Linked DNA regions of Callithrix jacchus. The protein of the gene in region 3 binds, or shares a complex with, the protein of the main gene of each other region. Links are inferred from orthologs where the notes say so. Each region holds a gene or a part of one and is shown on either strand. Other genes may lie near its edges. The genes, in order: CHD4, MTA2 and CDK2AP2.

Region 1 (3,644 bases), on a different chromosome or scaffold from region 3:
TAAGCCAAGGTCACACCACTGCACTCCAGCCTGGGCAACAGAGCAAGACTCCATCTCAGAAAAACAAACAACTAGGAGTGGTGGCTCATGCCTGTAATCATAGCACTTTGGGAGCCTGAAACAGGCTGATCACGTGAGGAGATCATTTTGGAGATCCCAAAATCCCAGCACTTTGGGAGCCTGAAACAGGCTGATCACCTGAGGTGATCATTTTGGAGCTCCCAAAATCCCAGCACTTTGGGAGCCTGAAACGGGCTGATCACGTGAGGTGATCATTTTGGAGCTCCCAAAATCCCAGCACTTTGGGAGCCTGAAACGGGCTGATCAACTGAGGTCAAGAGATCCAGACCAGCCTAGCCAACATAGTGAAACCCTGTCTCTACTAAAAATACAAAAATCAGCTGGGCATGGTGGCTCATGCCTGTAGTCCCAGCTACTTAGGAGGCTGAGGCAGGAGAATCACTTGAACCTGGGAGGTGGAGATTGCAGTGAGCAAAGATCACGCCACTGCACTGCAGCCTGGGCACAGAGCAAGACACTGTCTCAAAAAAAAAAAAGTGTCTTCCAAGTCTAAGCTATTGGTTACATCCACTTTCCCAATCCCTTTAGCAGGGTCTCCCACGGAAACTGCCCATCTCCCATGTGCCCAGCTGGTACCTGTGGTTAAGAATTCGGTGGATCATCATCCACTCAGGTTTTATCCCATAGCGATAGAAGCGTTCTTCCATCTCTGCAAATTTAGGATCCTTGTTCTTCCGCTTTCGGCTCTTTTCTTCATCACCACCAAAGTCCCCAGAAGGTGGCTCATCCATATCATTCTTCCGCTGATAGTTTCGGAACATCACCTGACAGTGCAGCTCCAGCTTCGAGTGGAAAGAGAAAATCAGCCACCAAGAAGCTGTGTTCATTCCTTCTATTCACAAGGCTGTTTTCACTACCCTCTTCATCGTAGCCCCTGCATCTCCAACCTGTGCTAGACTTACCTGCAGTTCAGACACCCAGGAGCAGTGCCAGTAAGACATGCCTTGCCATTTCACAAAGAACTGCCGCTCTGGCCGCCCCTCCAAGGGCTTTGGGGAGGGTGTACTGGGATCAGCATCTGGAGGCCGAGGTACTGGTGTGGGAGACGGTGGCTGACCCCACTTCCAGATAAGGATCTTCTGCACTTTGCCCTTAAGAGCTGGACACTGAGAGAAAAAGAGACAACCTAATCCCAAATCATAACCATGCGGGGAAAAGGGACAGCCCAGTCTCAACTTCATCAAAGGACGATTAAGATCTCATTTCAAATAAAATCTAATCCCAGAACTCCTCCAGAGAGAGAATGCAGGTTGAGGACCCCTCATCTGAAATGATTGGGACCAGAAGTGTTTCGGATTTCACATTTTTGGATTAGCGTGCTCAACCTGGGATAGAATTCCCTCTCCGTTTCTGGACATCATCCAGGATTTGTGTGCCACCGTCACTCCTATCTGCTTAACAGAGCCAGTAGTTAGACTTTAACAATAATCCAGAACCAGTGGGCACAGGAAATCAACAGACTTAGAGCACAGAATTCCTCCCTTAAGCAATCTAAAAGCAGTAAGTGGCCCTATTCAACATTCTAAACTGGCTGGCATGGTGGTATACACCAGTAATGCCAGCACTTAAGGAGGACAAGGGGGCACAGTGGTTTGAAACCAAGAGTTCAAGACCAGCCTGGTCAAAATAGTGAGACCCTGTCTCTACAGAGAATTTTTTTTTTTACCATGTTGGTCAGGCTGGTCTTGAACTCCCAACCTCAGGTGATCCGCCCACCTTGGCCTCCAAAGTGCTTGGATTCCAGGTGTGAGCCACCACGCCCAGCCAAGAATTTTTTTTTTTTTTTAATTACCTGGATGTGGTGGCAGGCACCTGTACTCCTAGCTACTCAGCGAGAGGCTGAGATAGGAGGATCATTTGAGCCCAAGAGTTGGAGGCTGCAGTGGGTTATGATCACACCACTGCAGTCTAACCTGGATGACAGAGACCCTGTCTCCAAAAAAAAATTTTTTTAACAAAAACATCAAAAACACTGTAAGCTACCAAGACCCTGAGGCAGAGTGTCAAACAAGGACAAACATTCTCAGCTAGAAAAACATGGCTTCATCTCCTCTAAGGGAGCTGGCAAAACATCTACTCCTCTGTTTGAAGTTAGTCCTACATTTTCCCAGGACAAAAGTATCCCAACACTACAGGATGAAGGAAAATACCTGTCTCAGGACTAAAAAGCTCATAGTTCCTCTCCTGCACCTCAGCCTCACAATACCCTGCATAGAAAAGACTACTCTTTCCACGTCTTCTGCCCTGGCTGAGATCAGTCACTCACCGTACAACGGGGACACAGCCATTCACCGTTGGGGATCTCTGGAAGTGGGGGATTCAGGCAGTGGATGTGGTAGGATGAAGGACAGGTGTCACAGCAAAGCAGCTCCCCACCATCCTTGCAGACCCGACAGAATTCCATATGGTGGTCATCCTCCTCTTCAAGGTCTCCCCCAACCTCTTCTAGGATCTCCTCACCCTCTGAATTGTCTTCTTTAGCCTCCCACTGGATGCCTTCCTTCTCCTGCAGTAAAAGACCACAGATTCACGTTATTACCACCCACCCACCTACCCATGCACTCACCAACCAAAGTCTGAAGCCAGTGGCTCCATCATTCCCATCCATTCGAATGCTTCCCAAAGCTCACAACCCGAAGCAGCAGCATTTCTATTTCCATACAGGCCCCAAAGAGCTTTACTGTCCCACCCTTCCTCTCATGGGCTCCAAGGGGCCACAACAGCCAGACACTCACGCAGTGTGGGCAGCTCCACTTGCCCTCGGGAGCCTTCTCCATGTCAGGATCCAGGCAGACCATGTGGTAAGCTCGGGGACAGGTATCACACAGGATGATCTCACCGCCTTGCTGGCACACCTCGCAATAGTCCTGGTGGTCTGTCTCATAACCATCCACAGCAGTCACCTCCTCCTCGCCTGGGCAAGGAAGAGGGAAAGCCCAGTTATTAGAAAAAAACTACCTCCCCCCACCCCCCAACCCCTATCTCCTTAGGGAGATTCTTCCCCAATCATTCCCACCTCATCCCATCACAAATATACAGAAAAGAAACACACCTTTCTTTTTCTTCTTTGTAGTTCGTAGTTTCTTTCGGCTGCGGCTACTACGGCTGGTGGAACCATCAGAAACAGAATAGCTATTGATACTGGCATCATCGAAGTCTGATTCCACATCTAAGTCATCATCCTCACTCTGGCAGAATGAAAAAGAATAAGGTTAGACGTTCTCAAGCCAAGGGGAAGGAGAAAGTGGCAAGGAGGGGAGTACCGTCTCACTGTGGATACTCGAATCCCAGCAAGCACCGTTATATAGGGAGCCTAGTCTCTTGTTCTCTGGGCAACTCACCACATTCTTACATGCCTATGAAGGACAGGTCCTGACATAAGGTCACAGCCTTTCTATTGACATGGCACCCTCCCTAAAGTGACGGGCTGGGCTCTCACCGAGGATCTCTTACGCTTGGAACCAAAACCTCCCAACTTGATTTTCAGGGGAGCTACTTTCTTGGGTTTAGGCTTCTTGGCATCAGGTACACGAGGGCTGCCCTTGGGCTTCCTCCGAGCATTG
Region 2 (3,744 bases), about 4.7 Mb from region 3:
GGTTGTGCGGTAGGCTCCACCCCTGGCCTATGTGCTCCGGAAACCCTGTGCTAAGGCAAGGGGGACCACACCCCCAACACTCATTCTGATTGGACAAGGCCAAGGTCAGCCCCTGCCAGATGGGGCTGGAAACCCTAAAGGGCCAAGGAACTTGGTAAGCCGGGATCCTTCTTAACCCCTTCTCACCCAGAACAGTCTGAAAAAGGAAAATTTAGAAAGGTGGAACAAAAGGAAGGAGAAAGAAAATCAAAGCAGGAAAGGAAAAAGAAGCTGAGGAAAACATGTTTCTTTGTGTTGTTTTTTTTTTTTAAAAAAAAAGATGAGAACTTAAAGAGAATGAAGACAGGGCAAAATGAAAAGGGAAAGATGTAAAATGGAGTGGGGGCCGGGAAATGGGTGAGGTAAGAAATGAAAAGTACAAGAAAACTTTCCTACCATCTTCCAGCTTCCAGGTATTCCCACCACCTTGTGATTACAAAATGAGCCTACTTCCCTGTTATGCGGGCCTCTCAGAACAATCTCTTCCTCTTCACCTTGACCTTCAGTCACCACCTACTGTTCTAATGTACACCAAACTGTCCCCCTTTAGAAAAGCATTCTGCTTCTCTGAAGTTCATCCTCATCCCCTAAATAAACATTATCATCTCTCTCTTACACTCATACACAAACCATATTATAGCTTTCCTTATCACAATCTCTCCACCCTGCTTCCAACCCCAACGTGTAAAAACAGGCCTCCCTCCTCAGACCAGGTATTTCCCACCCCTAAATTCACACCTCTGCCTTGGGCATGCTACCAGGAGAAACTCCTGCAGGGACATGCCCAGGCCTCAGATCATGGGGAGGGGGAAAAGAAAGAGATGAAGGTACTCACTGGCATTACTATCAGCCAGGCTGTTGAGACTACTAGAAATGTCCCTGCGCCGGAAAAGACAGACAACCTTTGCCTCCACATTTCCATTTGCAGTCTAAGGAGAGAAAAAAAAAATGTAGCAGTGAAAAATTGATCATCTGGGTACAGAAATGCACAGAGACAAATAACAGTAAGTTTCAGAGGAACCTAAATAAAAAATCCCAAGAAAATAGGAGTAAAGACTTACATTCAAGGACAGACTTCCAAATCCCTTTCCTTTGCCCCCAAGAGACAGAATAGTAAGTTCCTGCTAAGCTCTCAATAGCCTTTCCTGAATACATCCAATGAATGAATGAATGAATATGAATAGATACTTAGTATAGAGTCCTCTCTTCCACCAGAAGTTAGAAACCTCAGAAGAAAGAGACCACTGGGGGAGGGAGGGAGAGGGATTCTGCTCCACTCACCTTGTTGAGCTCCTCAATCCGTCTAACCAGGTAAGGATTGCTAGAGGAGTTCTCAAAATAGACGTAATCTGTAAGGGAGGGGAGGGGGAAGAACCACGAAGATCAGAGGACGAGACGGGAGACACAGAGCACGAGAGTAGGAGAGAAAGTTGGCCTGAGTGGACCAAAAGAAGATAAAGATCCAGGTAGAGAGGGCGCTGAGATGTGAAAGTGGAAAGACTAAGAGAAAATAAGGATGTTCCCCATCCCCACCACGCCTAGTTCTAAAATCGGATCCTTCACAGAAAAGTGAGCCTTAAGGAACAGGCAAGAAGCAGGGGTTCCCCTGCGTCCCCACAACTCAGCTATGAGTTGCAGCCCAGTCGCGGCGAAGTCATTGTTCACGCTGGCGCTGGGCCCCCACCTTTTCGAACCGAGGCGCACAATAACGCCTGGGAAGAGGAAATCTCCGGGCGGCTCCCCCGCGGTGGCAAAGCCGTCGCCCCAGCCCCTCGCGTCGCCTCCCTACCAGGTCAGCTCCTTCTGAACCAGTTTCCAAAGCCCACTCTGTACCCGGGGGAGCCCCCGACGCAGCCCTGAGAGTGCCGTCGGGGCTGCCCGCAGCTTCTCTCCGGGAGTCTCGGCACCCTGCCGCGTCGCGGTCGCCGTTCCCGCACCCTCACTTCCCCGCTCCCAGTCTCCCGGTTCCGGTTCCGGTCCGCGCTCGGGTCCACGCTGCCCCAGACGCGGCGCCCCGCGCCACCAGGTGCGGAGTCCCTCCGGTCCCGACCCCAACATCTCCCGCCCCGGGCCCCGCACCCCTGCGCCCGGTACTCACCCCCCACCCGGTACATGTTGGCCGCCATGGCCGTTCCCGCCGCCGCCTCCGGCCGCACAAAGGGGTCCGGAAGGCTCGCGGAGGCAGGGCTCGGCTCGAGGCAAAGCCCCGAGCGTGGGGCTGTAGCTTCAAGGGAGTCTCAGTGGGGCCCGCGCAGCCGGCACCTCCACTGCCTCAGCCGTCGCGGTTCATCCCGGCCCGCGCTGTCGCCGCGGCAGATATCGCCCCACTCCCGGGACGCTGAGGCCGGCCCCGGTCCGCTCGGCTTCTTCCGGAACGAGCTCGGCTCCTGCCAGGCCAGAGCTAAGCTCCAGCTACCCCCGCCCCCGCCGAGTCCCACTAGTCGTTGGGATCTGCCGGCCGCAGGGAAGGCTTGCCCGGCCCGCCTCGGGGTTCGCCTCCTTCCGGAACACCTTCGGCCGATCCGGAGAACAAGGCCCACCGTTCGGCTTAGGTCGTAGAGCGAGACCCCGCAGATCGGCTACTTCCGGAAGAGGTTCGGCTCCTGTCGGCCAACAGCGGCCCGGCACTCGGCTATTTCCGTCGCAGCTCGGACCCACCCCATTTTTCCGAGGGCGGGAGAGAAGTCGGACTTAACTGTGTACTCGCTGGGTCCCTGCAGCTTCTCCTGCCGCCCCGAAAGACTCGCGCGCCTTCGCGCTTAACCAGGTTATTTGCAAGCGGCTTTGCCTGTTATTTGCATAAATGGTCTACGCTCCCTTACCCTTTCCGCACGCCTCTTTTCCTTCGTCCCCACCCCACAAGGCCCCGGAGGCCCCCAGCAGCGCCCCACAAAAGCACCGGGAGGCGACTTTGGTTCTCGTTTATTGCCCCTCAGCAGGCAGCGGGAGTCAAGGCCTAGGCTGGGGCTGCCCAGCTCAGCCAGCGGGTCTAAACAGTGTGTGCAGGGGCGCCGTTCGCGCCCTCCAGGGAAATGCGCGATCGGGAATGTCTGGAAGTCAGTCGAGGAGTCAGCCCCGGGTCTAAAGGAACTAGGGCGGGGCGGGGCGGGTCCACGCCTTCAGCCAGTTGGTCCGCCAGGCCGAGATCAAACGTCAAGGGAGGAGGCGGGGGACAGGGAGGGGGTTCGAGAGGGCGTGGCGGGCGCTGGCCCCGCGCCCCCTGCTCCCAGCATTCGCCACTGGAAGATGCTGGCATCCTTGCCGCCCAGCGAGACGAGGTGCGAGTCGTCGTACGTGAACCGGACGCTGGTCACGTGGCTGCCGTGGCCACCGTACATGCGGCTCGGCGCCTGGACAGGAGGGAAGGGAGTTGCGGTGGCGGCGGAGCCCTCGGGCCCACCCGTCCTGTCCCGCCCCACCCCGCCCCGGAGGCCCCTGCGGCCTCACCTTGGCACGAGCACACGGGTACTGGAAAAGATGCACTTTGCAGAAGTCGTCAGCCACCGCCACCACGCGCTCATTGTGGGAGCGGCACAGGGAGTTGATGTCGGTCCCATCGGAGCCGTCCGGCCACACGCCTAGCACAGCGGCCGGCCTCAGCCCGACCTCCTCCCCACTGCCACCCACGGCCCAGAGCTGCACTATTTCAGGCGCTCCGGCAGCCACGGCCACCCACTGCCGCGTTCCAGGCAAGCCTTCCCGGTC
Region 3 (3,422 bases):
TTCCGGGTCCACAAGTCTGGCGAGCCAGCCACCCGGAGTCTGGGCAAAGGGCGAGGCACCCTAAGGAACCCCAAGGCTGGGCTCCTGGGATCACGCCCAGCCTGCTACAGGTGCTGCGGCGGTGACGGCAGCACCCGCCAGCCTCTCTGCTTGACTCTGAGGCCAGTGCTGGAAGCAGCAGTGTGCATTCTCTCTGCGGTGTCAGAGACCTTCAGGGCTGATTCAGAGGCTGGGGTGTTGTCAGGGCATTAGGGAGTGTAAGGGAGTGGCTTACGTGAACTGGCATTTCCACGCTGCCAGGCATCACTGCCAATCCAGAGGAAGTGCCCTCCAGGCCCAGGCTGCCCACAGCGCAAAGGGCTGTGGAAGCAGCCAGGCCCTGCTCTGCCCCCTGGTGGCACCACAGGAAGGCCCAGGGCTCTCAGCACCAGGGCTGGGGCAGGAGAGGGCCTGGGTCCCACAGGAGGCCTGTGGCCCACAGAGGCAAGTCAAACCCCATTCAGTCACACCCTCCCCACCCCTAGTCTCCTCTTCCTTCTCTGCCTGGCCCACCCAGGCTTAACTGAAGAACCAGACCCAGAAAGGCTCAGAGCTGACAGCACAACTCCAAATCATCTTTTATTAATATAAAAAGGGCATATTTAGCAAAAGACACACAGAGAAAAGAGTCACTATGGCCCAGGACACAAGGCAAGCAGGTGCCAGGCCTGAGCCCCTGCTGGGAGAGAGGGAGGCTCGGGACGAAGTGGGAGAAGTGCTGGGAGGGGCTGAGCAGTGGGGGCCACAGAAAGTTCCGGTGGGCAACACTGTCGGCAGGTCATGGGCGCGACTCACAGGGACCTCGCTGCTAAACTCTTGTTGTGGGGGGGGTCGTTCTTAGTGCTGCCACCTGGAGTGAGAGCCACCCTTTGGTTCCTGGAGGGCACCCACCAAAGGACACAGGACAGGAAGCCCAGGATGGTTAGTGCAACTCGGGATGATGGCCAGGGAGAAGCGGGTGCTCTGCAGTGGCCGGGAAAGGTCCAGACGCTGAGGCCGAGAGGCTTCCTGTTACGTGCGGGCGTTCCGCTCTGTCTCTGCCAGGCACTCTCTGACTAGGGCCCGGGCATGGATGATACCTGGGGGTAGGGTGGGGTCTCAGCAACCCTCCATAGCCCCACCTCCGCCCTCCAGAGGACCACCACTGCCTCCCCACTCCCTTTCCTTTCGGCAAGAGAAATTCAAATCTAATAATGGCGAGATGAGATTAGAGGTTTGGCTAATCCTCAAGGTGGCCCTGTTGAAATACAAATTCCCAGGCTCTTCCCTGGAAACGGACTCAATTTCAATTCAAAATACCTCTCTGCATAGTAATACTGGCCCTAGTCTAGGCGTCGCTCGGGTGGCCTCCAGATGTCCTTACTTCCCTAATGAAGGATAGTGCAGTGTCGGCTTCCTGAGCAGGGGAGCAGGGCAGGGCAGGGCGGCCTGGCCTCACTTACCTCTCTTCAGGCGCTCCATGGCACTCTTGCTGCCAGCATAGGTGGGCCGGATCTCTTTGCCCATCTCCTCTATGACGGACAGCAGGTCCGTGTAGGTGCTCTGGGAGCCCTGGGCGCCGGGTGGCTTCATCGCCTATGTCAAAAGAGAACAGGGCAGTGAGCTCAGGCACCTGGCAGGGAAGGAAACTCCAGTCCCCATCCATAAGCAAGGCTTTGGCCCCACTCACCTGCACATAGCCCATGGAAGGCGGTCCAAAGTCGTTAAACAGCGGTCTGAAAGGGGCGGCGGCTCCTGGCACTGAGCCCGACGGCGACGGCACGCTTCCTGCAGCAACAGGCGCGAGTAAGAGGTCAGCGCTGGGCAGGGACGCGCCTCCCTGCTTTTCCAAGCCCAGGACCGCGTTCGCCCGATTCCCTCCAAAGGATGCTTCATTCCATGCTGATTAACTTCAGGGACAAATCCCTCCCCCTGAGCTCCACCTACAAGCCCTTACATGACCACGCCCATTTCACAGGCCAGCAAACTGAGGCTCAGCGAGGGGTAGGCGGCAGGCCCAGTATTGCAGAACTCAGGCCGTCTTCTCTTCGAGACCTCGACCGCCCGGCAGGCGAGCAGGGGTGGAGCTGGATCCTCACCTGTAGGGACCGGGGTGCCCGGCCCAGGGGTGCTGGAGCCAGGGGTGCTGCTGGGGGCGGGGGCGATGGGTTTGTAGGACATCCCCAACTCCTGGGCGCGGCGGACGCCAGCCAGCCGCTCCTCGGGGGTTGGCCGCCGGGCCGCTCAGCCGCGCTCTGATTGGCAAGCGGGCTGCACGCCTCTGGTAAATAGAGGTCTGGCCGGAAGGGCGAGCGGGCTCGAATGCTCCCTCACTCCCGATTGGCGCCTGAAGATGTCACTCGAGCCTCCTTATTGGACGAGACCTGCCCCAGCAGGTCGCAACCGCCACCGATTGGTCTCCGCCTTCCGGACCTCGCACCTGTCTGCTCCGGATTGGGCGGTGGCTGCCGCCCTCTGCAATTGGCGAGTTCGCCGCCCGGGCCGGCGCGCTCTCAATCCGATTAGTCCCCAGGCCTTAGAGGCGGGGCCTCGAGGCCCCGGACCCCGGGCTGGGCCGCCGGTTCGCGCCGAGGGGTCTTCCCGGACGCGGGCGCTACCCTCGCGCTTCACTCGCGCTGCTTCAGACGTCGGCTCTGCTCTGCCCAGTTTCGGCCCAGCAGGGGTTGCTGTCGCCGCTGCCGTCGCTTCTGTCGCCGCCGCTGTGCGTCCCTATCCGCTCCTGGGGCCGAAGGACGCAGAGCTTTGACGTCCCGAGCCCCGCGCCCCACCCCGTGCGCTTTTACGTCACCTTTCACCGGTTCAACACCCTCTCCCCGATCTGCGCATGCGTCCGCCCGAGGCCTGCGTTTGTTCCCATGGCAACAGGCCCTACTTCAGTGCCGCCACGCGCAGCTCTTCCTGTGGCTTGGCTGGTCGTCAGGTCCAAGGGCGACCTCAAAGACCCCTTTGCCCGCACCCCCAAGGCCCCGCGCCGCCGCCTCAGCTGGTGTCAATGGCCGTAGGGCAAACCTGCGAGATTACTGTGTGGCGGGCCGGTACCAAACTGATCAAGAGCACGGTCTGGAGCCAACCGCCTGGGTTTGAATCTCAGCACCACCCCCACTGGCGATTTCCCCCAGGCAAGTGTCTCGCCTCAGTATGCCTCAGTTTTCCCATCCGTAAAATGGGGAAAATGACGATCTCATTGGGTTGTTGTGTGGATTAAGTGAATGTCATAAAGTGCTTGTTGTTTCATTCCCCGCCTTCCTGTCCCACTCCAGGGCCCCCATACCTTTCCATTCCACCACTCAGACGCCTCCCCTCAAATCTCACTCCCCACAAACTTAAGACTTCAAACCCTCATCCACTCACTAACCCTTTCTCCCAGGCTCCTTCCCCAAGCT

What was found.
Region 1: CDK2AP2 (region 3) and CHD4 share a complex: the UniProt entries of both Homo sapiens proteins name them as parts of the nucleosome remodeling and deacetylase (NuRD) repressor complex. The link is inferred for Callithrix jacchus from reciprocal best matches to the Homo sapiens genes CDK2AP2 and CHD4.
Region 2: CDK2AP2 (region 3) and MTA2 share a complex: the UniProt entries of both Homo sapiens proteins name them as parts of the nucleosome remodeling and deacetylase (NuRD) repressor complex. The link is inferred for Callithrix jacchus from reciprocal best matches to the Homo sapiens genes CDK2AP2 and MTA2.

Annotation. Positions count from the first base shown.
Region 1 is NC_133510.1:20,787,609-20,791,252, forward strand, and holds part of CHD4 (chromodomain-helicase-DNA-binding protein 4), read right to left. Parts: coding exon 3,521-3,644; intron 3,270-3,520; coding exon 3,134-3,269; intron 2,996-3,133; coding exon 2,817-2,995; intron 2,588-2,816; coding exon 2,348-2,587; intron 1,188-2,347; coding exon 984-1,187; intron 864-983; coding exon 658-863; intron 1-657. UniProt on the Homo sapiens protein: ATP-dependent chromatin-remodeling factor that binds and distorts nucleosomal DNA. Acts as a component of the histone deacetylase NuRD complex which participates in the remodeling of chromatin.
Region 2 is NC_133511.1:119,871,303-119,875,046, forward strand, and holds the start of MTA2 (metastasis-associated protein MTA2), read right to left. Parts: upstream 2,544-3,744; 5' UTR 2,166-2,543; coding exon 2,138-2,165; intron 1,389-2,137; coding exon 1,321-1,388; intron 969-1,320; coding exon 875-968; intron 1-874. Other genes in the region: EML3 (echinoderm microtubule-associated protein-like 3), read right to left, coding at 3,186-3,389, 3,487-3,617. UniProt on the Homo sapiens protein: May function as a transcriptional coregulator. Acts as a component of the histone deacetylase NuRD complex which participates in the remodeling of chromatin.
Region 3 is NC_133511.1:124,584,750-124,588,171, forward strand, and holds CDK2AP2 (cyclin-dependent kinase 2-associated protein 2), read right to left. Parts: upstream 2,280-3,422; 5' UTR 2,200-2,279; coding exon 2,118-2,199; exon of another isoform or gene 1,976-2,117; intron 1,807-1,975; coding exon 1,709-1,806; intron 1,615-1,708; coding exon 1,482-1,614; intron 1,119-1,481; coding exon 1,051-1,118; 3' UTR 594-1,050; downstream 1-593. UniProt on the Homo sapiens protein: Acts as a component of the histone deacetylase NuRD complex which participates in the remodeling of chromatin.